Arabidopsis thaliana: one gene and its partners. The protein of the gene in region 3 binds, or shares a complex with, the protein of the main gene of each other region. Each region holds a gene or a part of one and is shown on either strand. Other genes may lie near its edges. The genes, in order: AT1G71300, VPS54, AT4G02030 and POK.

Region 1 (7,035 bases), on a different chromosome or scaffold from region 3:
AGGCTATGGTGATGCTGTGCAAAAGGCGGAAGCAATGGCATTTCGCCGTGCGTGTGCAAGATTTGGATTAGGGCTTCATCTTTATCACGAGGATGCTTTGTAAAGGGTAATCTTTCTTTAACCATGGGAAAGTATATTATTTTGGTGTTCCCACTGCCTAGTAGTAGTAGTCTTTGAAGGTAAAACTCAGGGAAGCTTAAGTTTTTGGTATCTTAGATATGTATCAGCTGATATTGATCGCTTTATGATTTGAAATCGGTTAATGAAATGACCTTCAGAGGACTCTTTGTTGCATTTCTGTAACTTAACTTGAGGTTGCAACTTTAACCAGTAAAAGTTATCTGTTTGTGGCAATTCGCATCTGCACTCTCTGTTCACTCCTTGTAGAAATTCCCATGAAATTATCCAAGACACACAGGCTGAGAAAATACCTAGACTAAATAAGGATAATAGTAGCAAAAGACATAAGAATTATACATAAGGAGCCAATATGTTATCTTTCAGAAAGTCTTTTTGTATTTCTTGATCTCGAACATGATTGATTGATAGTTGACAATATCCCTGTTGAGAGCAGATCCACCATCTATCTTCTTGATACAGTCTTCGAGTCTTGTGTAATAAAGCAAAAGTTGTGTCATTCCAGCTATCAAAATATCCATACCACACAAGAAGTTACTAAAGCAAGTTATGATATCTTTGTGCATCAATTCTATCGCTGTCTTCCATCTGCTTCCAAAGTCCTTCACCAGCGGCTCTACTTCAGCAACTGTGATGGACCTCTCTAAATTTGGACTTGAATCCTCATCTGCTAAGTACAATTCGGTGGTTATTCGACTTAACAAACAATGAGTGCGCGAAGACAAGAAAGAAAGAAGGTGCTTACTGGCTCGGCTTTTAACAAATTTGATCATATCACTGAAATGCTCCACCAGCAATTCTTCCTGCGAAATTACAAGAAATTAAACAAAACAATAATGGAAACATAATACACCAAATCTTACTATCTTTTTATGCTCTTTGTAGCTTGTATACTTGATCAAACAGAAATCAGCAAATTATAAAGGCAATCAAACTGAAACATTGTCCCTTACCGCAAATAAGGAAGTGTTGCTCTTTAGTAATTCCTCAAAATGCATTTGAATTTTCCCACCCTCTGGTTCAGCTTCCTAGAATAGATGAAGATTGATCAAAACAGATTAATATATTTCTGGTAAGGAAAGAAACCCAAGAAACAATAGATATGAGTTAAGATTTGTAGATAATTCGCATAGGCTGACTTCTTAGTGGTCTACATGGGTGCACTTAAACATGAGAGAGCCAAGGGTTCTTCTACTCACCTTCAGCACAGCAATGGTCATATCATAGTTGTTAATGAGAAACACCATCTGTTGCTTTGGCCTTGGGAACAACTTTGCAAGCTTAAGAATCAAGCTGTCTACTGCCATTCTTAAACGCTCCAAATTTATATCAAGCTGCAAAGTTTCATAGACAAATGTCAAGAGCTTTGGGTGAGAAGCTCCAAATAACACATATCGTTAGGGACAGAGAGAATACTTATAACGAACCTGCCCATCTCCATATTCAACATTCAGGTGAATAAACGAAGCCGTGAATTCAGCATAACGTCTCATGATATAGTGAGGATGCACATCATCTTCCCATATTGTATTTATGTTTGCATTTCGCAGACTGCCGATGTGCAAGTCAAACACCGTCTTAAAACGAGGCCACAAAGAAATATTAACCTGCTCAATTTGCAAAAGATTCATTAAGGAAATCAACCAAGCGGCATCTATGAGCTCATATCTAAAATCTATGCAAGACATTCAAAGTTATACCAGGTAGAAAACATAAGTTGGCACAACTGCAAGTAATATACATTAAGAGTATATCACACAGACTAAAAGAGAGACAAGGAGTTACTAACCTTGTCCAGATATGAATCCAGGCATGGAATCCTCCGGCGAGACATGATAAGCTGTGAAAAAGTGGCATTATTGAGAAATGCTTGATACACATAGTTGAGATATAAACAATCATCACACTCAAACTAATAATTGGGTTACCTGGTGGTGGTGTATAATGCGAATCATAAGCAGCAAACCGATAGCATCATAACAGCTTGAGAGGACGGAATCCAAGTGCTCATAGATAACAGAGAATGGGCCTGTGTCATGGAGAATTCAGAATTTATCCAAGAAAAAATTGCGTAAGACAATATTTCTTACACACTACTCAAGTACCATATAAAAATTTGTAACAACTATTCTGACTACAAAGTTTGGTATAGAAAAAGGAGGAAAGATTAAAACTTACCCGCAAATATTTCATAAAATATAGACTGTTCACCAAAGAAATCTTCACAAAAGATATACCTGTCAAAATGAAAACAAATGACGTTAACAAGGGGGTGGGTGGTGAGAAACAATAACACAAATAGAAAAGAGGAAAGATCAACAGAACTCAGAAGTAGCTGTATCCATAAGTAGCTTGTGCAAGCTCCTGAAGAGCACTTCATAAGGATACTTGAGAGAGCTGGCTTCGGCTATGTGCGGGATCAAAGCAGGTTGATCAATTTCCTACATCATACATAGTGAAACTTAAGTCTTTTAACAAACTCTTGCGATATAATACCTCCAAGTCAACGATAAGAAATACAGGAAAATATCAAGTGAACGTGGAACTAACGAATTCGCCAAATCATGCTCAATGGTCTGAAAAAATATAATCACTGGATAAATGATGAATACCTTTATAATTTGTATCCTCTCACCCAAAGCAAAAACGGCACAACGGTTCTTTAGTGGCTCCTTAGATCTTGAGAAGAGGCCAGTGCTTCTAGTGTCCACACCAATCAAGTCGTTTGATGTGGCTATATCTAACTGTAGTTTCTCAAATGCTTGAATATAAGACTGAAAATGTGCACTTAGCACCTGAAACCAGATCTCACATTATATTAGGTGTAACATTAACAACTGAAAGCCTAACCCATAACATAAAGCTTGTTCAATCTAACCTGCATACATCATCTAATCATTATAGCTCTAGTGAGAATACAAGAAAAGAAGAAGTACCTTGTTCATGGTATCTATGTATGCAGCGCGGACATCCATAAACACTTCTTTTCCATGTTCTTTGAGGAAGGAGATAATATACCTATGATCAAAATGTAATTTGGTAAATGAAGTACGTAAAAAAACCAAAGTAAAAGGGTGCATGACTCACTTGTACTTTAAAAACACACTCTGTTGAAGAATCTGAATGTTTGTTTTGGGTTTCCTCAGGGCTATAAGCTTCTGAACAATAAAATCATAAACCTGCAAAACGGAAATAAATGAGAATTGCTCCCTCGACGTGCATGCCCTTGGAAGCATTGGAACAGAACAAACAAAGACATAATTGTTACGAATCAAGTAACAGAGAAAGTAGATTAACAACCTTGGAAATAGCTTTTTGCCGGAGCTTTTCAAGCTCAGGCTCTACATCTTTTAATGCTTTGGAACTTTTAACTGCTTGATCTGTTTCTACAAATTTCAGCTTCTTGCTCAGAATTCCAAGTGTTTTGATATACTCTTCATTCACCTGAATACAGAAAATAGCAAGACTATCAGATTAGAAATAAAAATCCTACCAAAGCAACAATTACATAGAAAGAGGGAATTTGAAAAGATACCTCTCCATCAACAATTACATGAATCATCTTTGGTGGTACTATAAAGTCTTCGACAAATTTTGCTAGCTTTGATTCAGTCACCTGTTCATATAGGAGAGCTTGTTTTGATGAGTAACACACATAAGAAAATACCACCGAGGTTGAAGGAGAAAGAGATAATACTAATAGTGGTTTCTGATATGACTATATACCCTTCGATTTTTCAGTCTCAAACCCATGTCCATTGAATTTTCTTGAAGAATCTTTATGTCTGAACTTATAGAACCAATCTCTTCCTGAAAGAAACGAAGAAGCAAAGTGCGCATTCAGATTAAGGAGAAAGAATCACAAACTATATAAATTGTCAAATACCTGAAATCCACTGAGAAGAGTTTCCATTTGTGACAAGATGCAGTTACAGTCACGAATCTGATCGTGAAGTGAGACTAGTTTATCACTTTCTTTTATGTAATCCTGAGTATTAATGGAGGGTAGAAACATTAGTAAATTACGATATTAAACTTGTACAAGGAACAAAATACGTTACATGAAAAGTAGAAAACAACGAGTGCCACAATGTATCACAGGTAAGAGAATAGCAACCTCAACTGAATCCAATTCAACCTTCCGTAGATTGTTTTCAACACCTTTGGCATATTCTCTAAGTTTGTCACCACTGGACAGTATATTGGCAACAACCTGAACTTTCACAAGAAAAATAGCCTTGGATCAAAACTTCTATCCATGTACAGAGTAAGTCAAAACGGAGTAGATATGATACTGGAAAAAACTTTGTTCACTTTCAGTTTTTTTTTCTCACCTCGTCACTTTCACATTCTTCAAGTTCTTGTTGAAGCCCTTCCAATGATATATCCTCACTGCCCAACAAAAAGAGTAATGTCGATTTTATGAATGAGACAGAACCAAAGGAGAGCATTCTAAATCAGAACAATAAAGAGAAGCAGAAACTTATGTCAAACTCGAATTAAGGTAAACAGAAAAGACATGAGAATGTTACCTTCTTGAATCCTCTTCAAAAGCCAAGTCTCCAAAGAATGCTCCTAATTCAGATTCATGTTTCTCAAGATTACTGAAGTCGTCCATAGCTTGGCCCTATGTTTTTAGATAGACACAAACTTCGATAAGAGACTTGATATGAGCCTGTGATTTCGGTTTCGTGCAGTTTGTTAACGTGAGAAAGATTTTAGCAAGCTTCCTTTTAACGCAAGTCGCTCTTAGAGAGAGTTAGGGTTAATTGTTTGATTTCTTATTGATCATAAAGGGACTTTATATACAGACAAGGAACAATCCAACTTAAAGCCTTACAATATATCATTACTAGAAATCCTAATTGAAAAGGGAAAAACCTCAAAACCAATCTTAATCATGAGAAAAACGAAAAATCACCAAAAACCCTAGTCGATGGTAACGTTATGTTTTTTTAGTTAGAAGAGGAAGAGCAAAGAGAATAGACCCAAACTTCGATGAGAGATCGAACCCGCAAAAGAAGTAAAACAACCATAACAATAACATCATGATCCAAAAGGCTTTAGAACTCAGCAAATCAAATTTAGAGCGAAAACGAAGTGCCAGCTTACCAATGAGTTAGTGGGCATGTTGCTGTACAAATTCTGGAGAAACACCAATGGTTATAACAATAGTCAAATCTTAATCTTAGTATATATATATACAAAATTTGAGAATTGATTTGAAGGCCACGGAGCCACTGGCGATATAGATGAGAGGATACGCAAATACCAAGGAGGTCTATATTATTTTTGTGATACCAACAAATGTCTATTTTTATTTTATTTTCTTACAGATATTGTCGAGAAAAAAGAAGTTAAGATCTCCAAATTTTAATAGATTTTGTAAAAACTCAAAATCTGATTCTCGCATATATATAACAACCTAACTCTTGTTCTTCACATAAGCCAAGTACTATCAACATGATCCAAGAAGGTTCGAACATCATGAAGCTGATCTCTAGCTACACCTTCAATCGTAAATCTTCTGAGATTTTGTGTGACTGTATCATAATAAACCACATAGAATGATCTCTCAATCACAGAGTCTTGAGCGAACACAAGTTCTCCAGTTCCAATGGTACCTTTGAAGAAAAACTCCATATTTCCAACATGTTGTTCCCAATGAGGAATCTCAATGCAGTTTCTCCACCAAGTTCCATCAGTTTCGTTCCTTACCCACAATTCAAATACTCCATTGCCATTCGGTTCTTTCACAATACCAAAGTCAAACTCAGAGTCATCTACTAAGGCAACTTCCCCATTGTAGTTCACCAATCTCCAACGATGATCAATCTTGACTTCCTCAGGCAATTCAATGACGCTAAACTCTTCAGAACTCACGTTGAAGCTCACTACCACAGATTTGTCACTATTGGACTCATCAGCTCCATAATACAAGAAACCTCCTTTACATAGTCCTTCAGTAACTGGTGAATGATCATGCTTACATGTGATCACTCTCCAAGAATTAGATTCTTCACCTGATCCCACCGTCATTGTGTATACCTGATATTCCCTAGAACGCCTACCATCTCCGTACTGTGATATTACACAGTGGTTCCTCTTCTTGATAAACAGAGTGAAACACACCATCACGTCCGAACGGGGAAGTTGATGAACGACAATCGAGGCCTTGTCGTCATCGATCGGCGCAAGTAAGATCTCTGAATGCTCTCGAGCGGATTAAAGATGCCAACTTCTTTTAGACAAGATACATTTCACCAATGATTTCAGAGGTAACCGTGACAGAATATCTGTTTGTAGATCTCTGAATGCTCTCCGAGTTTGTTACTGTCAAATGTCAATGTTTAGAGGTATTCTTTTAAGCAATGACTAGAGCTTTACTTTAACAATGGGCCGAGAGATGTATCTCTTCTCTTAGTGGGCTTTAGTAGAAACTGGACCAAAAACTACCTAATTCGAACAAAATTTTGCTGTAGGTCTAAAAAATAAAGCTGGAGTGAGCAACAAGCAAGCGGCGGCCGTCATGGATTCATCGCCACCGAACACTATCATCGAGGAGGCGCCGCCGCGTTTCTCTGAACTCAAACCTCCGCTCTCAGAAGATATCATCGAGGCGCTTGACCGGTCCGGTTTCGAGGTCTGCACTCCGGTTCAGGCCGAGACGATCCCTTTCCTCTGCAGCCACAAGGATGTTGTCGTCGACGCAGCCACTGGTTCTGGAAAAACCCTAGCTTTCCTCCTTCCCTTCATAGAGATTATCCGTCGATCCAACTCCTACCCTCCGAAGCCACACCAGGTAAGGAGAATTAGCCGAATATCAAGAGTAGTAGCTTATGCTATATGTTAACAATTTCAATCTCAGGTAATGGGGGTGATTATATCGCCAACGAG
Region 2 (5,254 bases), 9.7 Mb from region 3:
AACCAGAGATTGGACCTTATGATTAAGTTGAAAAGATCTATTCGCCAGTATTTGACTCTTGAGCTGAGTATGAGCCACAATTTTTTCTTGTGCATCTCGGTTTAGCTTGTAGCAATCCGTGAATACGAAAGTAGAATGGGTCTTTTCAGCTATCACTAGAAGCGTCATGGGTTTTGAAACTGTTTCGAGTGAGATACAGCCATGAACATCCAAGTACTGATTTGATGGAAGCACTGGAAGAGAAATGAGATTTTTGCAATTCTTTAAGTAAAGAGATTTGAGATGATGAAGTTTCTTGATGCTTCCTGGTAGATTCTCGATACTGTTTCGGCTCAAGCATAAAGACTGCAGCGAGGATAAGCAGCTAAAATTGTCCGGGAATTTGTACAGATTACAATCTGTGAGATACATGTCTGATAACTGAGAGCAACCTGAGAAAGGCAGCAACTCCAAACCTCTGAAATCTTGGACTTTAGATCCACCAAACGAAAACAGCTTGAGATTACTCATACACATTGTTCTGGGAGTTTGTTTGATGGATGTATCATCCATTAGCAGAATCTCTAAGCTTCCCATGTTTGTTTGGGGATTCCATGTTTTACCAGATGCCCATGTTACATGCAGACAGGAGACTGCAACTTTGGTATTACAGTATGTGTAAATTCCATCATCCGAGTGAGAGAGAAACCCATGTCCTTGAGACCTCCTTAAGCTCCAAAGGCCTCCCTTCACGGACGGTGAGCCATTTCTTAAACTAGCAGTAGCAATCTAGCAGACGTTAGTTTTCTTTGCTTCAAACCTCATTCTTTTGAACTAACCAACACCAAAAGCTTGTTCGACTTCAAACTGAACTCTGTTTTTCTAATCTCATTACTATCATCTGTGTTTATCGCTTGCTCAATTTTTGCTCCAATCTTTCGACATGGAGAACCCGTGTGTACCTTATATTTTTACAGTGGAAACTGCAGCTCCGGTCCCACTTGTATCTTTGATCATCCGATGTTGGTATCAACACACAAGAACATATCTTCCATGGCTTCCGAGACACAGCACTTGAATCCGCTAGGATTGTCCTCTTCACTTGGGGCTTCATCAAGTGATATTGTGGAAGCATCAGCCAAGAAACCCAGAATATACAAGAACACTTCTTCCGTAGCGTCTGATACACCACACTCGAATCCATTAAGATTTTCTTCTCCAATTGGAGATTCATCAAGTGAGCTTGTGGAAAGATCAACTAAAGAAACTGTAATCAACAAGAACACACCTTCCATGGCTTCTGAGACTCTGCATGCTAATCCACTAAGATTTTATTCTTCCATTAGAGAGTCATCAAGTGATTGAAGTGAACTTGTGGAAACATCAGATTAGAAACCCATAGTGCATAAGAACACACCTTCCATGGCTTCTGAGACACCGCACTTGAAGTCGGTAGGACTTTCTTCTTCGCTTGGACCTTTATCAAGTGAGCTTGTGGAAGCATCAACTGTGTCTGAAGTCACACAAGAAACCGTTAGTAGAGGTGTCATTGAAGTGAAGACTTAAAATTTTTGTGGTTAAACAAAATGTTGTATTTTAAAATATTGTTCTTCTAATATATATTTTCTAATATTAACATATGCTTGATCCAAAAATTTCCATGAGTAATATATGAAAACAACATAATTAAGTAAAAAAAATACAAGGCATTTTTCCAAATTAACTCAAACAAAAATCCATAGGATATTTTTCAAAAGTATAAACAAAACAAGGCATTTTTCCAAATTAACTAATTAGAATATTACAAATTTTGTTAGAGAACTATTTGATTTATTGAATTGAAAAGATATTTGTAATATAGTAATATTAATTTTACTAGTAATGAAAATCAGTTATTCATAATTACAGAATCAAACTGACATTTATCCTTTTCTGTAGATGACGTGGATACCTAATGCACCGTCGATTAAATCTGCGTAGTGAAACCCCGCACTGCTCACAGCACCACCTCTCTCGAACCATCGAGTCTCGAACCCAGAGAGGACTTTCCTCAGTGAGTCCTCCGTTCCTTAGCTTCTCTTCCAGATCCAAACTCTCACCAAACTTTCTCACAACACACACACAATTCGATTCGATCCACACTCTTAAAATCCCAAAGATCTCTCTGATTTTGAAATTCGATTCTTCCCCAGATCAACTTGTGAATTTTTCCACAATTTTGGTTCATGATTTTGATTTCGTGAAGGACTTATGGATTCACACCCTTCCCTAATGGGAAGGTCCATTACCAATTCGAACCGATCGAGCTTAGATCTTGGTCGTCCTTCTTCGTCTTCTTCATCTTCTCCTTCACCGTTAACCAAATCGATCTCCGATGCAAGTAGTCAAAGTCTCTCTTCGATCCTTAACAATCCACACGGAGGTAAGTCTGGTGTTTATGGTTCCGATGCATCTTGGGTTGGTTGGTGGTCTTCATCGACATTTGTAGCTCCAGCTGAGTTTGCGCCTGTTGCTTCAACGAAGCTCCCTGGTTCGGAGCTAACCAGATCCGACTTCCATGGCTACGTTTCTTCGATCTCTGAGTCTCATGGTAGATTTGAGGATATTAGGAAGCATACTAGGGAAGAGAGCTGTGGGTTTGATCAGGAGAGCCATGTATCGGGTTTAGCTGCGTGTTTGCGTGAGGTTCCTTCGCTTTACTTTAAGGAGGATTTTGCTCTTGAGGACGGAGCTACATTTCGTTCTGCTTGCCCTTTCTCGAGCCTTAATGAGAATCTAGCGCTTCAAGAGAAGTTGTCACAGTATCTTGATGTGGTGGAGCTGCATCTTGTGAAGGAGATCTCTGTGAGGTCTGATTCGTTTTTTGAGGCTCAAGGACAGTTACAGGATTTGAATGTGAAGATTGTTGAGGGTTGTAGTAGGATTCGTGAGTTGAAAGAGACTATTCGGCTCCTGGATAGGAATTTGGTAGATTCAGCTCGACAGATTCAAGAGCTGAGCTCAACTAGGATTAATATGCTGGAGCTGCAACGTAAATTAAGACTTATTTTGTATGTTAACCAAGCTCTCTCTGCACTCAAATTGGTAATTTTTCTTACTGATTTGCTTAGAGTAGTGTCAATGTAGATACTTTTTTGTTTTTCCTATCTTTTATTGATGGAAGTTTGATTCTTTATTGTTCAGCTTGTTGCGTCCGCAGATTGTGCTGGAGCTTTGGATATAACTGACGATCTCCAGAACTTGCTGGTAAGTTCATCTGTGATTGATGTTGGATACTTTTAGACGATTAGGGTGCTCTTTCTTTAGAATGTAAAATGGATTCCTGTCTTTTTTAGGCTGGGGATGAGCTTACTGGTCTATACTGCTTCCGCCATCTTCGGGATCATGTTACTAGTTCCATAGATTCCATAAACAGGTGTGTCTCTTTTCAGGCTATGATAACTGACTATAATAGGCTGTATTTAGTCTGCCTGTAATGCTCTTTTAGGATGGATTGATTGGGAACAATGAGAGTAAGTCGGATCTTAACTGTGCAAAGTACCTTACCAAGTTTTTAGAGAAGTGGTGAAGATGTGAATTATTGACTATGTTTTTGAGTCTCGCTTTCGAGCGTCTTGAAATTCTTAGATAGTGAAGGCAGTCGATATTTGAAAAATGTTTGCAGGGTTTTGCAGCTCTGGTTTTTTTTTACCCTTCTACGTCCTTTTATTGACTTCTGGTTTATATATAGCAGATAGTCTCTCTATAATTTGCGAAGTCGCTGTTTCTTTGTAGATCAACCCTTTCATGTTACCCGTGTGCTTGGGCCATTTGCTGAGATTAAGTTTTATAACTGCCAATTGCGGTGGATAGTTTTACCGTCTGATGACTATGCATGCATCCAGGCTTGTAGCATTCTATTAGTAATCAATCATAACTTCTGAACTCTTAAACTTTCCCCTTAAGTTCTTGCATGCGGTAATGCCTTGCTGGCGGAATTACCCTTATTATGATAAATCTTGGTTTGCATTGAAATGTACTATGTTCGTCATTATTTTGATACTTCATTCATATTTTGTTACCTTCAAAAGGTGTAGAACAGTATACAACCTGTAGGCATTTGTATCAGTTAAATGTTTAGTATATTGATTTTCTTTGGTAGTGAATTGTTCCGTGAAAATTTTACTATAATGTAAGTTCACTTTCTATATGCAGTTATCTACCAGTCCTGTTTTCTCTATTATTTTCTTTTATTTGTTTATTTGGTCTAGTGCCTGATGGTTCATTGATTTTTTCTTTGTAGTATTCTCACTTCAGAATTCATGCGTATCTCCATACATGATACTGGGGAGATAGATGTACTGATTTTATCTGCAGCAAATATACGGGGATCCATTTCATCTAACGGGAATACCGGCGAAGAAGTAAGTCTCATCCGGTACTGAATAGAAGATCCTAAACTGTGAGAAGTGGTAGATTATCAGAAAAAGAACTGAAACAACGACCATCATGACTCTGAATATTGGGCTTACGCCTTTGCAGGTTAAGTTAGAAGAAGAGGATACCTCTACCTTATGTGATCGGCTTCTTCCTTTAGTTATTGGATTGCTAAGAACGGTGAGTGACCAGACCTGATTATTTTTCTAACAAATGCTACCACTGAAGTTGACCTGATTATTTTTCCAACATATGCTACCACTGATTGTTTTAATTTCTTCGTTTATGCCATTCCCGGTCTTTATTGTTGGTTCATAGTGCTCATTCAGGGCATAGTCTTAATTCAGTTTCTCATGTATTGTTCTTTGAACTGTTTTCATAGGCAAAGTTCCCGTCAATTTTGAGGATGTATCGTGATACACTCACATCCGAAATGAAAAATGCAATCAAGAAAGCAGTTGCTGATCTGCTTCCCATTCTTGTTGCAAGATCGCTCGAATCTGATTTTTCACATGGGGAGCGCTCTGTAGATGATGGTGAGATTTTAATTGTTCTTACTATGTATACAGATTGTCATGCGACTTAGTTTGTGCATGAGAACATGGTTGAACATAAGTTTGTATTTGAAATGTGTAGAATTCCTCTAACACACATTCTCATCAAGGTCAACACCATAGAAACGACAGTATTGGATTCTTGTTTTAGCAAATGCCCTTATCAATATTGCTGGATATTCCCATTTGCTTGTTTTCTTATTAAATCTCATTTGATCTGAGACCCGACTTGGAAGTAATTTACATGGAAATTGGTCAACTGATGAAGAATGTTGGCTGAAAACTTACTTTTAAGGATTTAATGA
Region 3 (8,345 bases):
TGGATGATGGCAGGACTGACCCAGGGAATGATGTAAGCTCTTGATCTTCCTAGGGTCTTTTGTCTTTTCAAATTTTCTGCAGTATCTGCGACTTTGGGCATTGTTGTATTGAAAGTTAGCTTGTCAGACTGATAGGGTTAGAGATCTATTCCAGAAGAAAAAAGTTCTGATCCGGAAAAGCCAATTTCCTTGCTTAATTTTTCCCTGATACCTGCATTGGACAAGAGAAAACGATAGTTGACCATAAGTTGGCTTAGACAAGTGATTATTTTATTTGAGATTTTATTGATATTAGCATGCCATGTCTGTCAGAATCATATTTTGGTTTACCGCTCTCTTACTTTACTTGACAGAATGATGAGGTGCCTCCAAGGACAAGATTGTTCCGTAGAAAAGGCAAAACCCGGAAGCTAAAATACTCTACAAAGTCTGCTGGTCATCCGTCTGTCTGGAAAAGAATAGCTGGTGGCAAAAACCAGTCCTGTAAACAATACACGCCGTGTGGATGCCTGTCAATGTGCGGAAAGGATTGCCCTTGTCTAACTAATGAAACTTGCTGCGAGAAATATTGCGGGTATGCAAACAAATTAACGTCAATTGAAGTAACAGAGGATCTTCTTATAACCATCCATTGATTTAATTCAGGTGCTCAAAAAGCTGTAAAAATCGTTTCCGAGGATGTCATTGTGCAAAGAGTCAATGCAGAAGTAGGCAGTGTCCCTGCTTTGCTGCTGGCAGAGAATGTGATCCAGATGTTTGCAGAAATTGCTGGGTTAGGTAGTCATTTTAAATCTAGATCTCTTGATGTGCCATATACAATCAAATCTACTATTTGATGAGTAACTTAAGATGCCTTGCTTATTCACTCAGTTGTGGAGATGGTTCTCTCGGTGAAGCACCAAGACGCGGAGAAGGGCAATGCGGAAACATGAGACTTCTCCTGAGGCAACAACAGAGGGTATAATACTGTCATCAAATCATGTATTTACTAAAAATAAAATGCATTCATTGTTGATAAATCTAGTTTCTCATGTGCTATATTTACCAGATCCTATTGGGAAAGTCTGATGTTGCTGGATGGGGTGCTTTTCTAAAGGTAAAGCATGTGAATATCTTCCTCATTAACTTCTGTTTCATACCTCTTGTATGTAATCTGAACCTCATCTGATCATCAGAACTCGGTCAGCAAAAATGAATACCTTGGAGAATACACCGGTGAATTGATCTCACACCATGAGGCGGATAAGCGTGGGAAAATATATGACCGGGCAAATTCGTCCTTCCTCTTTGACTTGAATGATCAGGTGACCAAATCTCTCACCCTTCTTTCTGATAGTTTCCTCTTGAATTTCGCATATGTCAGTAAGCTTTTGATATTTGCAGTACGTCCTCGATGCTCAACGCAAAGGTGACAAGCTGAAATTTGCCAATCACTCAGCTAAACCCAATTGCTACGCTAAGGTACTAAATGCTTCTCTCTCATATCCATTTTGGTATGAAAAAACCACATGATCGGTTAGTAATTATACCTTCTTTCTCACCTCTAGCCACTCAAAAGTTCCATTTAGAAGGAGGACTAGGATTATAACATTTTGTAGAAACTAATCGCAATTAGCACTATAGAAAACAGATGATCAAATCTAGCTTTGTAGGTTATGATCAAAACACACTTGTTTCTACAATCTTTATGATTGTAATGTGTAAAGTAACATGTGTATATCATCTGCTAGATTTATTCAACCCTTTTCGAAAGGTGTTAATTATTTACAAAAAAGAGCGATTTTCAGTCTATTGTCGTAGTAACCATGGTCTCATCGCTTCCCGCATAAGTACGGTGTCTTTTTCTGTGTGGTGTAGGTGATGTTTGTAGCAGGAGATCACAGGGTCGGGATTTTTGCAAACGAACGAATAGAAGCTAGCGAAGAGCTTTTCTATGACTATAGATATGGACCAGACCAAGCACCAGTGTGGGCTCGCAAACCTGAAGGCTCCAAGAAAGATGATTCAGCCATTACTCATCGTAGAGCCAGAAAGCACCAATCTCATTGATGATTACTGGCTAAGAGAAGTAACTTTTATAAAAATAACTTATAGAGTTGTGAGAGATGATATTTGAAGTTTGATAACTTAAGCTTGTCTTTATTAATTAATTATTATAGAGTTGAGATTTTATTTTATTTTGACATCGAGTTTGGACTTTGTATAGGTGATAAAACAATTTATGAATTATTGGGGTCAATAAGTAAAAATGTATCATTTCGAAAAATAGTTTCAAATTTATGGATTTTTGAACAGCTAAAGCCAATCTATGTACTTTTCAACGAATAAAACTGATTTAAAATAAGTGAACGAACCAATCACACTAAACCAGTGCCTAATCTCATAAAAAGTAATCCGACTGCTAAACCGTATTCCGGTTCGAATCGGATACGGATCCGTTTCCCAGTTGATTAGTCGGATCCAGTTTCTTCTTGCTTTTTCAATTCACATTACGAATCTCCGACGCCAAAATTCTGCTTCCGGTAACAGATATTTTCGTCGTCGAGAAGAAGCAGGAGTTTAGAAAAATGGCGACGGAGGCAGCTCCGATGGACGAAAAGGCGAAGAGAATGAGAGATCTATTGTCGAGCTTCTACGCACCGGATCCTTCAATCTCGACGAGTGGTTCCTCCATCAACGCCTCTTTCGATAACATCAACAGCACTTCCTTTGATGCTGATCAGTACATGGATCTCATGGTTAGTCTTCGTTTCTTGTCAGAATATTCGTGAATCGTCAACACAAGCGTCAATAGCTTGTATATTGTATCAAATTATTGAGTATTTCGATTCACTGAAGTTAGATTCGGCTCTTTGATCTTGGTCTAAGTGGTTAGTTCGAAATTTAGAATATGTTTAGATCCGACTGTTATCTTTTGGAGCAGGAATATAGTTGCTAGTTTTGAATTCTACCCTTCGGATGAAGTTTACAGTGCAAGGTTCTTGTAGAGGTCTCTTGATCAATGTGGTCTGGTTTGGTTATTTTCTATGCAAACTTATGAGAATTCTGCAAATTTAGTTGTTCTTATCAAAGATCTTCCTGCAATGGTTGATAGTTCGGAACTAAATTGGGTTTATGAGGTTTGTGTTAAGTGTGGTGACAGTAGTGCTAGCGATCTGATTGAGATATATGCCACAGTCTGGTGATTTTATTGGCTTGTGCAGATCAAAAAGTCGAATTTGGAGGTGCTTCTGCAAAGACATGTTCAAATGGCTGCTGAGATTAAAAATCTCGACACAGACTTGCAAATGCTAGTCTATGAAAATTACAACAAGTTTATCAGTGCAACAGATACAATCAAAAGGTACTTGTAATGGTTCATGGATCGTTTCAGGTGTTAAGTGTGTCATTTAACACTTTTCTCTATATGATTTGATTTCACCACTCGGTAGTATATTAAATTCAAAATGTTGCTTCTTTACCTGGTAGGATGAAGAGTAATATTTTCGGGATGGAAGGCAATATGGACCAGCTTCTTCAGAAGGTGTTTTGAACACATATGATACACGTAGTTTTGGATTTTTTTATGGGAACTTCTCACTCATAGTATATCTCCCAACTGACTCATGCAGATAATGTCAGTACAATCAAAGAGTGATGGGGTCAACACTTCTCTTTTCGAAAAGAGAGAACATATAGAGAAACTGCACCGGACTCGTAATCTTCTTCGTAAAGTTCAGGTATGTAATGAGTCATTTTTGCTAGCTTATATATCTGCTGTGTTGTCACCTGATCATTATAGCAATAATATGAATTTACTCAAATTAATTTTTGTGAGAAAGAGCAGTTCATCTATGATTTACCTGCAAGACTGCAAAAATGTATCAAGTCAGAAGCCTATGGCGATGCTGTCAGGTTCTATACTGGAGCAATGCCAATTCTCAAGGTTTACATCTGTCCTCGGATAACTTTTCCATTTTTTTGTAGTATTCTTTTCATGTTACTGGGGCATTTAACATTCTGAAGATATATATGTGGAGATATGTTTAAAAATATGAATTTCTCTTTCTGTTCAGGTATATGGCGATACATCATTCCAAGACTGCAGGCGAGCTTCCGAAGAAGCTATAGAAATTATCATAAAGAACTTGCAGGTATACCTTTTGGTCCTAGTAGTCTATACTTGTCTGGATTAATAAAAATCTACATACAATACTGGCTTATCAACCATATAAACAAATAACTGGTCTTTATGTTTTGTGTTTGTTATTTCTTGATGCAAGAAACCTATTTTGGCTTGTTTGACAGACGAAGCTATTTTCAGATTCAGAATCCATACAGGCGAGAGCTGAAGCTGCAGTGCTTCTTAAGCAGTTAGATGTCCCTGTCAGTTCTTTCTCTTAGCTCAATTATCTGTGACTTGTTTAAGTTGTTATAGAGCTACCTAGAACGTTCGTAATGTTCATCCTTGTACAACTGGTTTATCACTGGTTGTGACATAAATTTGGATTGCACATCCTGCAGGTTGATAGCTTAAAGGCTAAACTGTTGGAAAAACTGGAACAGTCTCTTGATGGTCTTCAAATAAAGCCTGAGGAGGCAAGTACACTTGTAGAGGACGATGATTCATCTAACGATACAGAAAGCAATGACCAACATCCTGCTAAAATTCATGAGGTAAACACGGACTATGTCGCTTCCTTATCCTTTGTGTTTTTGATGAATGCAAGTTGGAACACAGTCAAACTGACTGTATCTATTAAGCACTTTGAATATCCGCAGCTGCTTTACAGGAGATTTTCTCATTAGCCACCATATTGAGATCTCTTTTCTTTTATTTCATTTGGTTTATCAGACTTGACGAGCTTTTTATTTGCACTTTTGATATTTTAATGGTTGTCCCCTTTTTTCTGATAGGATGCCGTACGTGGATTTTCTGAGGCCATACGTGCTTATCGAGAAATATTCCCCGACTCAGAAGAAAGACTTTTCAAACTCGCGAGAGCCTTAACAGCAATGTAACGCACTTTTCTTTGATATATTGATCCATAAATCGAGACTTTGTTTGTGTCTGACCTGCAGAATTTCTAACACTTATGGTTGTTAGGCACTTTGAGTACATGGAGCTATATATAAAAAAACGGGTTTCTGCAGCAGATTTTCTAGGAATTTTTCGTGAGTACAGTGAATTTCCTCATGCCCTTGTCTCTTTTTTATGTTGCTTTCATTTCTTCTGAAAGCTTTGGTTAAATCAGTCTAATGAACATATATACCCTGTCTGATTTCTGTTGGACGTAGGAATTGTATGGGAAGATGTGGTACTTATGGACGAGGTGCTACCTGAGGCTGCACTCTCTGATTTATCTGCAGAGGTTGACCCTCATTTATGTTGTGTGGTTCTATTTTTCGTTATAATGTGTAGAACTATATATGATTACTAGCACTCCTCATTTCAGGCTGCCCAGGTTACTCTTAAGCAATTTGTTGCGAGAATGTTTTCTCATCTTCAACAGGATATATCAGGTTCGCTGTTTTCTAATTTCTACTGGATTCAGAATTTCTTAGTGAGGGAAAAGAGAGAATGAGTGTAGCTTCACTTTTCATAAGAACTTCTGTGAAATGGCCTTTAAGTAATTTGAAGAGTAGATTAATCTCTTCGTGAAGTTTTAGTCTTCAAATGAAATAGAATTATAATGAGGTATATATATACATGGCAGATACTCTCTTGAAATTCGATATCAACCAAAAGGAAGCAGTTGAAGGGGAACTCTTGAAGGTTGTCCTGGAAGCTAGCCAAAAAGCAGTGCTACAAGGCACCACAAATATATTTCAGGCACATTCCTTCTTCTGTTATTTATTATATTTTGGCTGTTATATCATCTGTATGAATTCCATGCTCAAAAACGCTTATATTCGTTCTATCACTTCAGGACTTCCGTCAGCTTCTTGATGAAAAAACTGGAATATTTATAAAGATGAAGGATTTAATCAGTGGTTGGATTCAGAAAGGATCTCAAGACTTCTTCAGGTCACTAGAAGCTCAATTTCTAGTGCTTTCTGGAAAAACTAGCTCATCAAACGATATAGAGGGAAAATCGAGTGACAAAATTCATGCTGGTCTCATTCTTGTATTGGCGCAGCTCTCTGTCTTCATCGAACAAAAGGTCATCCCGAGAGTTACTGAGGTGAGATTCTTACAAGTAGTTTTGCATAAAGTTTAAATCAATTGGTAGCTGGTTTTGAGAAATTTCATATGCTTATTCAGGAAATAGCTGCTTCCTTCTCTGGTGGAAATTCCCAAGCCTTTGAGAATGGACCTGCTTTTATTCCTGGAGAACTTTGCCGGGTCTTCCACGCAGCCAGCGAGAAACTTCTCCAGCATGTATGAATGAAACTCCAAAACTTGAGGTCGTTTACCAAAACTTAACATCAACTAACTAAATCATTTCATATTTCAGTACATAGACACAAGAACACAGAAGGTATCAGTTTTACTGAGAAAAAGGTTCAAGACACCTAACTGGGTTAAGGTATTGCTGTTGTGGTGTGGCTAATCTTCTTAGAGAAGCATTTTACCAGTCATTGTTTTTTAATTCCAAATATTATGCAGCACAAGGAGCCACGAGAGGTTCACATGTATGTCGATATGTTTCTTCACGAGGTTTGACAACTCTTCTCCTCTTAACCTGGAAATTATCTAAAGAGCATGCAATAAATCATATTTGTTTGGATTTTCTACTTCGCAGTTAGAAGAAGTTGGTAAAGAAGTGAAACAAGTTTTACCTCAAGGGACTTTCCGTAAGCACAAAAGAACAGACAGCAACGGAAGTAACACTACAACCTCATCACGAAGCAATACCCTCCATAATGATAAGATGGCACGGTCAAATTCACAAAGAGCTCGTAGTCAGCTTTTCGAGACACATCTTGCAAAACTGTTCAAGCAAAAAGTAGAAATATTCACCAAGGTTGAATTTACCCAGGTAAAAACGAAAGAGGTTCCCTTATAGTTATATCAAACGCGCACTGCCACACGCTCATCATCTCCTGATCTCTTTTCGTGCTAAATATTTGCAGGAATCCGTTGTTACAACAACAGTAAAACTTTGTCTGAAGAGTTTGCAAGAATATGTCCGTCTCCAAACGTTTAACCGGAGCGGGTTCCAGCAGATTCAGCTAGACATTCAGTTCTTAAAAGCTCCATTGAAGGAAGCAGTTGAGGACGAAGCTGCAATAGACTTCTTGCTCGACGAGGTGGTTACACCTAAAGCTCCTTCCTTTACTTTTCTTCTTATTACCATCAAGCAGAGGCTCTATGTCTATCTTTTGCAACTGACCATTGATTCTCCGACCATGATGTGTGTTTGTATTGACAGGTGATCGTTGCGGCTTCGGAGAGATGTCTTGATGTGATTCCATTGGAGCCACCGATCTTGGACAAACTCATACAAGCTAAACTCGCTAAATCAAAGGAGCACAACAACAACACAGTTTCTTCTTAAAAGTTTTCATAACTCAAACAAAGTATACATGATTTTTGCCAATTTATTTCCGCTTCTTGTTATCATCCGTAGTGTAAATCAAAACCATTGAATTGTACTCTCTAGCATTGAACCAGTAAAATCTACACCGTAACTTCTTCTTTACTTTTGTGAACAAATCTTTGAATTTTTTTTTTTAGCAACATGCAATTTGACTTAAAAGATATGTAAAACCCTAAAACTAAACTACATAAATTCCTAATTACACTAAAACCCTAAAATTGAGTGCCGAAAAAATAGAAAAAATATTCATAGTCACGGCCTCACGGGTCTCTCTATTATATAAGAACTCCTTGAGACTTAAAAAAAATCTCACATTCCCTCTCTCTAATCAAAAAGCTAAAAGCAATGGCCACTGCGATGTCTTACTCTTCTCAAAACCATCGATTCGAGCACCAAACCCTAATCCACCGTAACCCTAAGCCTCGTCTTTGCCGCAACTCTTCAACAGCTCCTCGCCGACGCAAGCAAAGCCCTACGGTTGTTAAATCTCCGGCGGCGAATCCAAATCTTGTAATGGAACAAGTCAAGATCCTCAAACGCGGTGAGACATTGAGCGCGTTTAATAAGAACAAGGAAAACATTAGCTCCGACGATACAAGACGACCTGTTTTGAAGATGATAAAAGATGTTGATCTGATTGTATCGGCTACTAATAGAATTGGACCTGAACCAGAGATTTTGATGAAACAGATCGGAGCTTTGGGATTGCAGAGCTTCGCCGGAGCTAATTGCTCTCTTTCGCCGCCTCCAAGCTGTGTTCCAATTCCATGTTTCTTAGGGACGAAGAACAATCTCCTTGTTTAGATCATCTGATTTGGGGAA
Region 4 (8,607 bases), on a different chromosome or scaffold from region 3:
CTTCCGACGCATATCCTGTCAATGTCCAACAGATGACACTCCTTCACTAGTATATTTTGGTTTTCGTGTTTCTTTGAAGTTGTATGTTATAATGATTGAACCTATCTATCTATGAGTATCGAGTATCAAGTTGAAACCAAAATGCTTGTACTAAATAACATATGTGCTAATGAAAACAAGAAGACCCATGATTTAGAAGTCTTAGAGAGGACATATTAGTTTCAAAACAGAGCATGCCGAGTTTCGTGTGCACCAAATGCCAGAAAAAAGAACACATGCATTTTCAATTTACTCCGTTCCTACTACTCTCATCATTTCATTTATCCCACTCCAGCTCTAACTGTGGTTCAGTCTTTAGATGAGAAACATTCCTCGACGGCAGAGCTTCAGTATTAACGTGACCAGTTAACCGATTCCAACCCATGATGTGTGGAAGAGCAAACTGCACAAAATACAAAATCTGGTTAAAAAACAATCACCAATATCCCTTGAAGAATATATACTTGATCCAGATTCATGTGCTAAAACTGACAGAGAAGCAATGCCCTTGGTTTTTCTAGTCAATGTTTTTGGTTCTCGAACTGATATAATAGTAACAGAATATAGAGAACGCAGAATAAAAATCTTATCTTACACTAAAAGCTGTCTTCATCACTGCAAATTCAGCTTTTGTGACAGGAACCACAAAATAGTCATTGGTTTTGAGGATGCTATTGTTAACGCCTGCAACAAAACCGCAGAAGGTAAGTGTTTATACAGCATTAAGAATTCAGCATTCCTATTGTTATAAGACAGCTATTCTGTGCGAAAACTGTTATCGCCATATTACAAAACTAATACAAGTGCAAGCTTCTAAATTTACTAAACAGAAAGCTCCCATAACTAAGTATTTCAGTACTGATTATCCATGTTAATTTGATAGAAGCCTTACTCAATGAGATGAAGTAGCCGCTACCATCTGCGTGGGGCTTAACTGACAGTGACTTCCTGACTTGACCAGCATTACTGAGGAGTCAAAGACAAGTCTATGTCAGAACATGAAAATGCTGCGATAAAAATATAATGTATTGAAGCAAAAAAAGACAAACCTTGATTTCATGGAAGGGTCATGGAAAAACTCGGAGCTGTCTTTGGAACCCATGCTAATTAAGGATCCAACTTCAGTAGGTGACAAAGCAAATTTCTGCAATAATGTAGGAAACAAACCAAATTTATCAGAGGAGAAAGAAGAGACAAGTGAAGAAGATAGAGAGTGTGAAAAAGATCAATACCTGTTTCTTTTCCCAGTCGTACTTACGCTCACCAATAGCAGGCATAAAAGTCATCATTAAGGATCCACGACGATCTATCCGAAGATTTCCCGACTAAACAATTGTACTCACAGTAAGTAATGAGAATCTAAAAGAAGCCTTTAAAGAGAACACACAAAACTAAAAAGAAATGGATTTTGGGCTTACATCGATTTCAGTGAAACTGGGAAGAACAGGTTCAACAGAGAGAGCAGCTTTTCCTTTGAAGATAGAATAAGGTGCGAACAATCGACCACTAGGCTTTGCGGCATCTTCTCAAATCAAGCAAACAAAATTAGGGCAAGTACACTTAAACTGACGAAACGGAAACAAACCAAGTTCTTACCTTTACCAGGGAATCCACGTCCAGGGGTTGAAGAATTTGACCAGCTTGCAAAACCACGCAACGTCGAAGCTTCGAAAAGTGACTTACTTTGGTCACAAAGGCTCCTGCTTTAACAAAAACAAACCAACCCAGAGAAGCCATTTTAAGAGTAATGAAATCTAAAATCTGAATTTTGAGAGGAACTGAAGTAACCTGGAGAGCAAAGAGCGGGCTTGCTTCATCATCTTCTTCTGTCTCGAGTAAAAAGCATCACTTGAGGTCTTCCGACTTCTGAGGTTTTATGATTTATCAAAACGGGTTTTATCGGGCGACCCATATTTTAACCCGTTTGTTTTATATATAAGTCTTTTAACGGCCCAATGGGCCTTTATTGTTGATTGGGAAATTAAAAATCAGATTAGAGAAGACGAACGAATCTGAGAAAGGTGAAGCTGAAGAAGAAGAAGAAGAAGAAGAAGAAGAAGAAGAAGAAGAAGAAGACTCTCTAATGGCGGACTCAAACTGATTTCGAGGATTCTGATTTCGTTTTCTAGTTGAAGATCTTTCAACTCTTAATCTCATTAGGAAGATGTCCGACATTTCCATTGACGCATTGGTACTTCATTTTTTTTGCATTCGTGATCTTCTAGCCTTAATCATGGATCCTTTATGATCTCTTGTCTAATTCGCTTTGCTCTTCTATCTGAAATTCATAGGGCCAAACTATGGGGGACTTTAGTAATCATGAGAAACTTGGATTTGATTTAGGAGCATTTGTTGGAGACTTGGCTTTTGAAGAAGATTCAGGCAGGTAACGTTCTCATGTTTTGTATCTTAATTCGACTATAACATATGTTTCTGCTTCTCTTTGTTCTTCTGATTAGAATGCTCTCCTTTGATTTGTTTGGCAGTGAGGATATTTCATTGGAAGGGCTTCAACAAGAACTTGAAGAATGTGAAAGTGATGAGGTAAGTTATTCACTTAACTGAGATCAAACTTATAAAGCTAGCACCTCGGTTCTTCTTTTTCGAAGTATTGTTTCTACTCTCATTTGAGTTACTTTGGAGTACATGGATTGATCATAGAATGTTAGATCCATGGATATGATGTCCTTTCTATCTTGTTTGTGTGAAATGTCAGGTTGTTGCCAATATACTGTCTAGTGGTGACAAACTTAGAGAATATGCAAAAGGGGTTGAAAACAATCTACGCAAGGTTGAATTGGATTCAATCGAGGTTGTTATTCTCTACCTGTGCTACATTGTGGCACTTGTTGTTTTCTACTTTTTATGTACTTCCGTCTATAAGTTCGGGAATTTCTTTGATATCGTAAGTAACTAACTTAAATGCTTTACATTCCATGAATACTCAGGATTACATAAAGGAAAGTGACAACCTAGTCTCACTTCACGATCAGATTCGTGACTGTGACAGCATCCTGTCACAAATGGAAACTCTTCTCAGTGGATTTCAGGTATTTGAAAATTAGACATTTATATAATTTGTGTGTATGTATGTGCTTCTTTCTCCTTATTCTGACTTTTGCTTAATGGGAGGAATTTTTTTACTTTGAAATACATATATTTTTTCCTGGTAATCTAAATGTGCACTTTGCTTCTTTTCTTTCAGGAAGAGATTGGTTCTATAAGTTCAGACATAAAGATTCTTCAAGAAAAGTCAATGGACATGGGTTTGAGATTGAAAAACCGCAGGGTATAGCTAATCAGAAACCACTATTGGTATTATCTCTTGCTGCTTTCACTCGTGACTCATCCAAATGAACTCTTCTATTTGAATAGGTGGCTGAATCAAAGCTAGCAAAATTTGTCGAAGACATTATAGTGCCACCAAAGATGATAGATGTAATTGTTGACGGAGAGGTATTTTTCAAATTCACTTTTTATGTAGCTTTGGTAGGGTTGGAGATTTGTAGGAATTTTGTAGGATCTCGTCATGTTGTATACATGTCTAATTTTTCTTTTTGTTTCTGGTGCTATAAGAATTACTGATTTGGTGCATATGTTGTAATCTGAAACATGGAGGAAAAATAGAAAAACAACATTTTCTGGTTAAGCTTGGTATATGCTTCCCCTATGTGCAATACTAAAATTTATTAAATTTTCTTCATTTTGTTTTCTTACACCATTTAGTCCTATCTTTATGTCCCCTGAGTACGTGTTTTTTTTGTAAAACCATAGTGGTGCATTTAAGCCTAGGTTGGATTGCTGAGGGTATTTTTATTGCTAATCTGATAGTCGTATTATTTTCCTTATTCAGGTGAATGAAGAGTATATGAAAACGCTTGAAATTCTGAGTAAGAAGCTAAAATTTGTAGAAGCAGATCAGGCAGTTAAAAGTTCCAAAGCGTTAAAAGATGTAGAGCCTGAGCTCGAAAAGCTTCGGCAGAAAGCTATTTCCAAGGTTATTGATCTACTTTCTCTGTTACTTGATACCAAAAACTTATATATTTCGCTGAAGGGAGTGTGATAGGTCCAAACATAACTGTACCTATTGACTCTCAAAACACACTGATACATGCATATTTCTTAAAGTTGTTAATTGTTTGATAAAAAACTACAGAAAAGTTAAGTTCCTGATATAACTCAACTTATTCTACCTCAATGAGATGAATCATTGTTCCTTCCCTCTGAAAGAATTTATGGCCAGGAAAAAGTTGCCATCTGCGATAAATTCAACTTTTAGTTCTGTATTAAGTCATTTGTGTTTGTTCTCGTCCAATGCTGAAAGGGCATGCACGACTGCACGTCGATGGAGCATTCTAAATTTGTTCTCATGCAATAGATTTAAATTCGTTTTGCAGGTGTATGATTTTATTGTCCAGAAGCTTATAGCCCTGAGGAAACCCAAAACAAACATTCAGATTCTTCAACAGAGTGTGTTATTAAAGTACAAGTGAGTTATGCTCTCCAAGCCCCTTTAATTGGTTTTGACGTAGTGAAACTACAAATTGTACAACGTCTCCTGTCTTGCATGTATGTTTCTGTTAACTTTTTCTGCATGTGTATGTGGTCATCACCTTACAAACGTTTTGGTTAGTTATCTTGGTTTGGATTTTCCCTTTGTGATGTTGACGGAGTTGTTTTATTTTACATGTTACTGATATCCAACTTGATATTATATTGCTTCTACAAGACTTATGTGGATACATACTTCATTCACCAATTACAATTTAATGATAGGTATATTATCTCCTTCCTCAAGGAACATGGAAAAGAAGTGTTTATGGATGTTCGTGCTGCATACATTGATACCATGAACAAGGTGATATTCTTTATCTTGTTTGATTTCTTACACTATGCTGCAACTCCTTTATATAGTCTTAGTTGAATGAGGAAGAATACACAGATAGATTTGACTAAGGTTATTCTCCGCATATGCAAGGTAGTGGATACAACATCCAATTGTACGTTACATGCAAGTAATTCTTCTATTCTTGTTTTCTAACTATAATTGGACAAAGCTAGTTGGTTAGATAAAAATGCTGTTTGCTAGCTTAGGCTTTTAAATGTTATTACACCTTATGTATTGTATGATCTTGTTTCAGGTGTTAAGTGCACATTTTCGTGCTTATATTCAAGCACTTGAGAAACTACAGTTAGATATAGCCACAGCATATGACTTAATTGGGGTAGAGACCAGAACCACCGGCCTCTTCTCAAGAGCTAGGGAGCCACTAAAGAACCGCTCTGCCGTTTTTGCTTTGGGTGACAGGATAAAAATTATAAAGGTATGCATCATTCAGCAGTTATCATTTTTTGATTGATTTTTTCGACCATTCTACATGCTCTGGCGAATTTGTTATATAAAATGAGTTGCTCTTCTGACTCTTTAATACAAAAGATGGTACTAGGTCTGCGTCTTTACAAATAAAGTATAAGTTATATTAATGTATTGTACACCATAAGTTTTATTGAGGAGTGCCCACTTTGGTTTTGGTTCAGATATTTTAGTCTTAGGTTATAAATTATAGGAATCAAATATTTTGGTTCATTTCAGTTTTGGTTTTTACGATATGTATCCTTAATTTTAAAGGCTCCTCAAATAGATGGAAGTTTCGATTTGTTTTTCTCATTTTCAATTTGGATTAGTGTGGTATCAATTTGTTTTTTTTTGCTATAGAAGAAGTAAATCCAAAGTTTGTTTGGTTTAACAATATTCGTTAAAAGACTTAAGTTTCAGTATGACCGCTGTAGGATATTGATCAACCTGCTTTGATCCCGCACATAGCCGAAGCCAGCTCTCTCAAATATCCTTATGAAGTGCTCTTCAGGAGCCTGCACAAGCTACTTATGGATACAGCTACTTCTGAGTTCTGTTGATTTTTCCCCTTTTATATTTGTGTTATTGTCGCTCATCGCTCAACCCCCTGGTTAACGTCATTTGTTTTCATTTTAACAGGTATATGTTTTGTGATGATTTCTTTGGTGAAGAGTCCATATTCTATGAAATTTTTGCGGGTAATTTCTAATCTGTCTCCCTTCCTTTTGCTGTACCAAACTTTGTGGATTTTGTTAGCTGTGTAGAAGAACATCTGTTTTTCCTGTAATACTGGTATACCAAATTTGATATGGTGTTGAGCAGCGTGTAAGAAATTATCTTCTCTTCTTCCGGATAGAAAGCTGAACCTCTTGTACTTTACAATGGATATGATAATTGTAGCAGTTTTTTGGATAAATTCTAAAATTTAAATGATACAGGTCCATTTTCTGTCATCGATGAGCACTTCAATCCCGTTCTTTCAAACTGTTTTGATGCTATTGGCCTGATGCTTATGATTCGCATAATACACCACCACCAGGTATTAACGATGACCTAACTACTAGTTTATCTGCGTTTTGGTGAATATCTTGGAATTAGGTAATTTATTTAGCTTCTTCCCTTTTGAACTTTTCTAGTCTCCCACATATGTGAGAATGCATTGAAGTATGGTTAGATATTTATCAACTTGGCATTGGAAAGAGTTCTCTTAATATCTTGCAAACTAACGATGTAGATATACCTTCAACTGGTCCACATAGGCGTATTACAACCAGTCTATATTTTTTCTCAACAGTATGATAATCTAGTGTAGCTTATATTACTTATTTTCATGATCCAGCCTTTTGCAAGGGTCATGATGGTATTATATGTCCACTAATAGTTAAGCAATACTTTCCCACCTTTTTTACAGCTTATCATGTCTCGCCGGAGAATTCCATGCCTGGACTCATATCTGGACAAGGTTCATACCTCTCTATCTCTTTTATTATGTTTGATCAACATTTAAATATGTATGGTGCAATAAAAAGAGTTCATTATTATTGTGCTCATCTTCAGCTGTTTTCACTTGGTCGCTAAATGTTTTCTTTTTGGTATAACTTTGAAGGTCTTGTATAGATCTTAGATATAAGCTTATAGATGCGGCTATGGTTTGATTTCCTTAGGTTTCATAGTCCTCTCTCAATGAATCTTTTATTTTGGAAATTGAGCAGGTTAATATTTCTTTGTGGCCTCGTTTCAAGATGGTGTTTGACTCACACCTTAGCAGTCTGAGAGATGCAAACATTAAGACATTATGGGAAGATGATGTTCATCCTCACTATGTCATGAGGCGTTATGCTGAATTCACGGCTTCGTTTATTCACCTAAACGTTGAATATGGAGATGGGCAGGTTCGTTATAAGATTGCTTCTGTCTCTAGTGATATGTATTACCTGTTCTCATCACTCAAATCGCTTGACACTATATATGAACCGCTGCAGCTTGATATAAATCTGGAGCGGTTAAGAATGGCTGTAGATGGGTTGATTCTCAAGCTTGCAAAGTTGTTCCCAAGGCCAAAGCAGCAAATTGTGTTTCTCATAAATAACTACGATATGACAATCGCTGTACTGAAGGTGAGTTGAATCCTTGGCCGTCTCATGTTAAGTGCACCCATGTGGACCAGTGTTTTCTTGGTTTGAAATGGCTTTCTACGAATCTCAAGGCTTAACTAATTGAGTCTGACCTACCAAAAGAATCTGTTTTGATCATCTTCCTGTATTTTAGGAAGCTGGACCAGAAGGTGGGAAAATTCAAATGCATTTTGAGGAAATGCTAAAGAGTAACACTTCATTATTTGTGGTAAGGGGCAAATACTAGGTTACCTTTGTAATTTGCTTCATGGGTATAACATAAAACTGTCTTTGTAGTAGCCTAACCTTAAATCTGATGTTAACTCGTAGGAAGAACTGCTGGTGGAGCATTTCAGTGATTTGATCAAATTCGTGAAAAATCGAGCTTGTAAGCAACTTGTTTCTTTCTTTTCTTCACGTACTCATCGAGTGTTAAGTTGAAAAACCACTAAACTGTAAGATATGTGGCAGCTGAGGATTCGAGCTTAAATCCAGAGAGGTCCATTACAATTGCTGAAGTAGAGCCACTGGTGAAGGACTTTGGAAGCAGATGGAAGACAGCGATTGAGTTGATGGACAAAGACATCATAACTTCCTTCAGTAACTTCTTGTGTGGTATGGATATTTTGAGAGCTGCATTGACACAACTATTGCTCTATTACACAAGACTCACAGACTGCATCAAGAAGATAGATGGTGGATCTGCTCTGAATAGGGATCTTGTCTCCATCCAATCTATCATGTACGAGATCAGGAAATACTCCAAGACTTTCTGAAAGATAGCATATGTGGCTCCTTAATGAAGAGTATGTAAGATAAGTCAAAATTTTCAAAGTGAATCTAAAGCCAGTATTATGGGTCAGTAATGTATCTATCTTTCAAACCAGTAAGAGTTCCTCTAATGTCTTTCTTTTGCTAAATTCTCCACAATTATCTGACCAATATGTTTGGAATCAATTTCATAAAATAGAACCAAAAGACAAACATGATCTCAGTTTTTTTTAAAAAAGAAGAAGCCATTTTGCTTTTTAACATTTTGACAAATGAGAGAGTATAATTCTCTATTATATTAAATAGTCGTCAACCTTCACATCTCTA

Evidence for each region.
Region 1: AT4G02030 (region 3) and AT1G71300 share a complex: the UniProt entries of both Arabidopsis thaliana proteins name them as parts of the golgi-associated retrograde protein (GARP) complex.
Region 2: AT4G02030 (region 3) and VPS54 share a complex: the UniProt entries of both Arabidopsis thaliana proteins name them as parts of the golgi-associated retrograde protein (GARP) complex.
Region 4: AT4G02030 (region 3) and POK share a complex: the UniProt entries of both Arabidopsis thaliana proteins name them as parts of the golgi-associated retrograde protein (GARP) complex.

The regions. Positions count from the first base shown.
Region 1 is NC_003070.9:26,871,785-26,878,819, reverse strand, and holds AT1G71300 (Vps52 / Sac2 family), read right to left. Parts: upstream 4,757-7,035; coding exon 4,671-4,756; intron 4,591-4,670; coding exon 4,473-4,590; intron 4,352-4,472; coding exon 4,238-4,351; intron 4,127-4,237; coding exon 4,025-4,126; intron 3,949-4,024; coding exon 3,865-3,948; intron 3,755-3,864; coding exon 3,674-3,754; intron 3,583-3,673; coding exon 3,439-3,582; intron 3,318-3,438; coding exon 3,226-3,317; intron 3,157-3,225; coding exon 3,075-3,156; intron 2,934-3,074; coding exon 2,751-2,933; intron 2,580-2,750; coding exon 2,464-2,579; intron 2,376-2,463; coding exon 2,317-2,375; intron 2,168-2,316; coding exon 2,067-2,167; intron 1,979-2,066; coding exon 1,928-1,978; intron 1,746-1,927; coding exon 1,566-1,745; intron 1,473-1,565; coding exon 1,338-1,472; intron 1,167-1,337; coding exon 1,092-1,166; intron 1,076-1,091; exon of another isoform or gene 942-1,075; coding exon 501-941; downstream 1-500. Other genes in the region: RAD52-1 (cobalt ion binding protein), read left to right, coding at 1-103; AT1G71290 (F-box associated ubiquitination effector family protein), read right to left, coding at 5,578-6,177; AT1G71280 (DEA(D/H)-box RNA helicase family protein), read left to right, coding at 6,668-6,940, 7,007-7,035. UniProt on the Arabidopsis thaliana protein: May be involved in retrograde transport of early and late endosomes to the late Golgi.
Region 2 is NC_003075.7:10,613,788-10,619,041, forward strand, and holds the start of VPS54 (VPS54), read left to right. Parts: upstream 1-1,908; 5' UTR 1,909-2,229; coding exon 2,230-3,063; intron 3,064-3,162; coding exon 3,163-3,225; intron 3,226-3,314; coding exon 3,315-3,394; intron 3,395-4,261; coding exon 4,262-4,382; intron 4,383-4,500; coding exon 4,501-4,575; intron 4,576-4,777; coding exon 4,778-4,931; intron 4,932-5,254. Other genes in the region: AT4G19470 (Leucine-rich repeat (LRR) family protein), read right to left, coding at 4-413, 456-552; AT4G19480 (uncharacterized protein), read right to left, coding at 993-1,246, 1,397-1,529; AT4G19485 (uncharacterized protein), read left to right, coding at 1,033-1,336, 1,382-1,545. UniProt on the Arabidopsis thaliana protein: Acts as a component of the GARP complex that is involved in retrograde transport from early and late endosomes to the trans-Golgi network (TGN). The GARP complex facilitates tethering as well as SNARE complex assembly at the Golgi.
Region 3 is NC_003075.7:889,695-898,039, forward strand, and holds AT4G02030 (Vps51/Vps67 family (components of vesicular transport) protein), read left to right. Parts: upstream 1-2,481; 5' UTR 2,482-2,567; coding exon 2,568-2,738; intron 2,739-2,842; coding exon 2,843-2,870; intron 2,871-3,072; coding exon 3,073-3,119; intron 3,120-3,203; coding exon 3,204-3,343; intron 3,344-3,468; coding exon 3,469-3,523; intron 3,524-3,611; coding exon 3,612-3,719; intron 3,720-3,826; coding exon 3,827-3,925; intron 3,926-4,055; coding exon 4,056-4,133; intron 4,134-4,287; coding exon 4,288-4,365; intron 4,366-4,503; coding exon 4,504-4,656; intron 4,657-4,896; coding exon 4,897-4,997; intron 4,998-5,086; coding exon 5,087-5,154; intron 5,155-5,277; coding exon 5,278-5,351; intron 5,352-5,435; coding exon 5,436-5,502; intron 5,503-5,696; coding exon 5,697-5,812; intron 5,813-5,909; coding exon 5,910-6,164; intron 6,165-6,244; coding exon 6,245-6,361; intron 6,362-6,437; coding exon 6,438-6,509; intron 6,510-6,589; coding exon 6,590-6,640; intron 6,641-6,725; and 7 more. Other genes in the region: SWN (SET domain-containing protein), read left to right, coding at 1-32, 354-574, 646-777, 871-958, 1,049-1,096, 1,176-1,304, 1,384-1,461, 1,858-2,049; AT4G02040 (uncharacterized protein), read left to right, coding at 7,869-8,327. UniProt on the Arabidopsis thaliana protein: Acts as a component of the GARP complex that is involved in retrograde transport from early and late endosomes to the trans-Golgi network (TGN).
Region 4 is NC_003070.9:26,861,533-26,870,139, forward strand, and holds POK (Vps52 / Sac2 family), read left to right. Parts: upstream 1-2,054; 5' UTR 2,055-2,203; coding exon 2,204-2,230; intron 2,231-2,330; coding exon 2,331-2,425; intron 2,426-2,525; coding exon 2,526-2,583; intron 2,584-2,755; coding exon 2,756-2,851; intron 2,852-2,987; coding exon 2,988-3,089; intron 3,090-3,244; coding exon 3,245-3,328; intron 3,329-3,414; coding exon 3,415-3,495; intron 3,496-3,892; coding exon 3,893-4,036; intron 4,037-4,436; coding exon 4,437-4,528; intron 4,529-4,815; coding exon 4,816-4,897; intron 4,898-5,180; coding exon 5,181-5,363; intron 5,364-5,829; coding exon 5,830-5,945; intron 5,946-6,034; coding exon 6,035-6,093; intron 6,094-6,333; coding exon 6,334-6,434; intron 6,435-6,806; coding exon 6,807-6,857; intron 6,858-7,107; coding exon 7,108-7,287; intron 7,288-7,377; coding exon 7,378-7,512; intron 7,513-7,663; coding exon 7,664-7,738; intron 7,739-7,839; coding exon 7,840-7,897; intron 7,898-7,980; and 3 more. Other genes in the region: AT1G71250 (GDSL-like Lipase/Acylhydrolase superfamily protein), read left to right, coding at 1-50; ATWHY2 (WHIRLY 2), read right to left, coding at 317-442, 635-723, 932-1,005, 1,089-1,183, 1,272-1,364, 1,458-1,561, 1,636-1,739, 1,828-1,859. UniProt on the Arabidopsis thaliana protein: Acts as a component of the GARP complex that is involved in retrograde transport from early and late endosomes to the trans-Golgi network (TGN). The GARP complex facilitates tethering as well as SNARE complex assembly at the Golgi.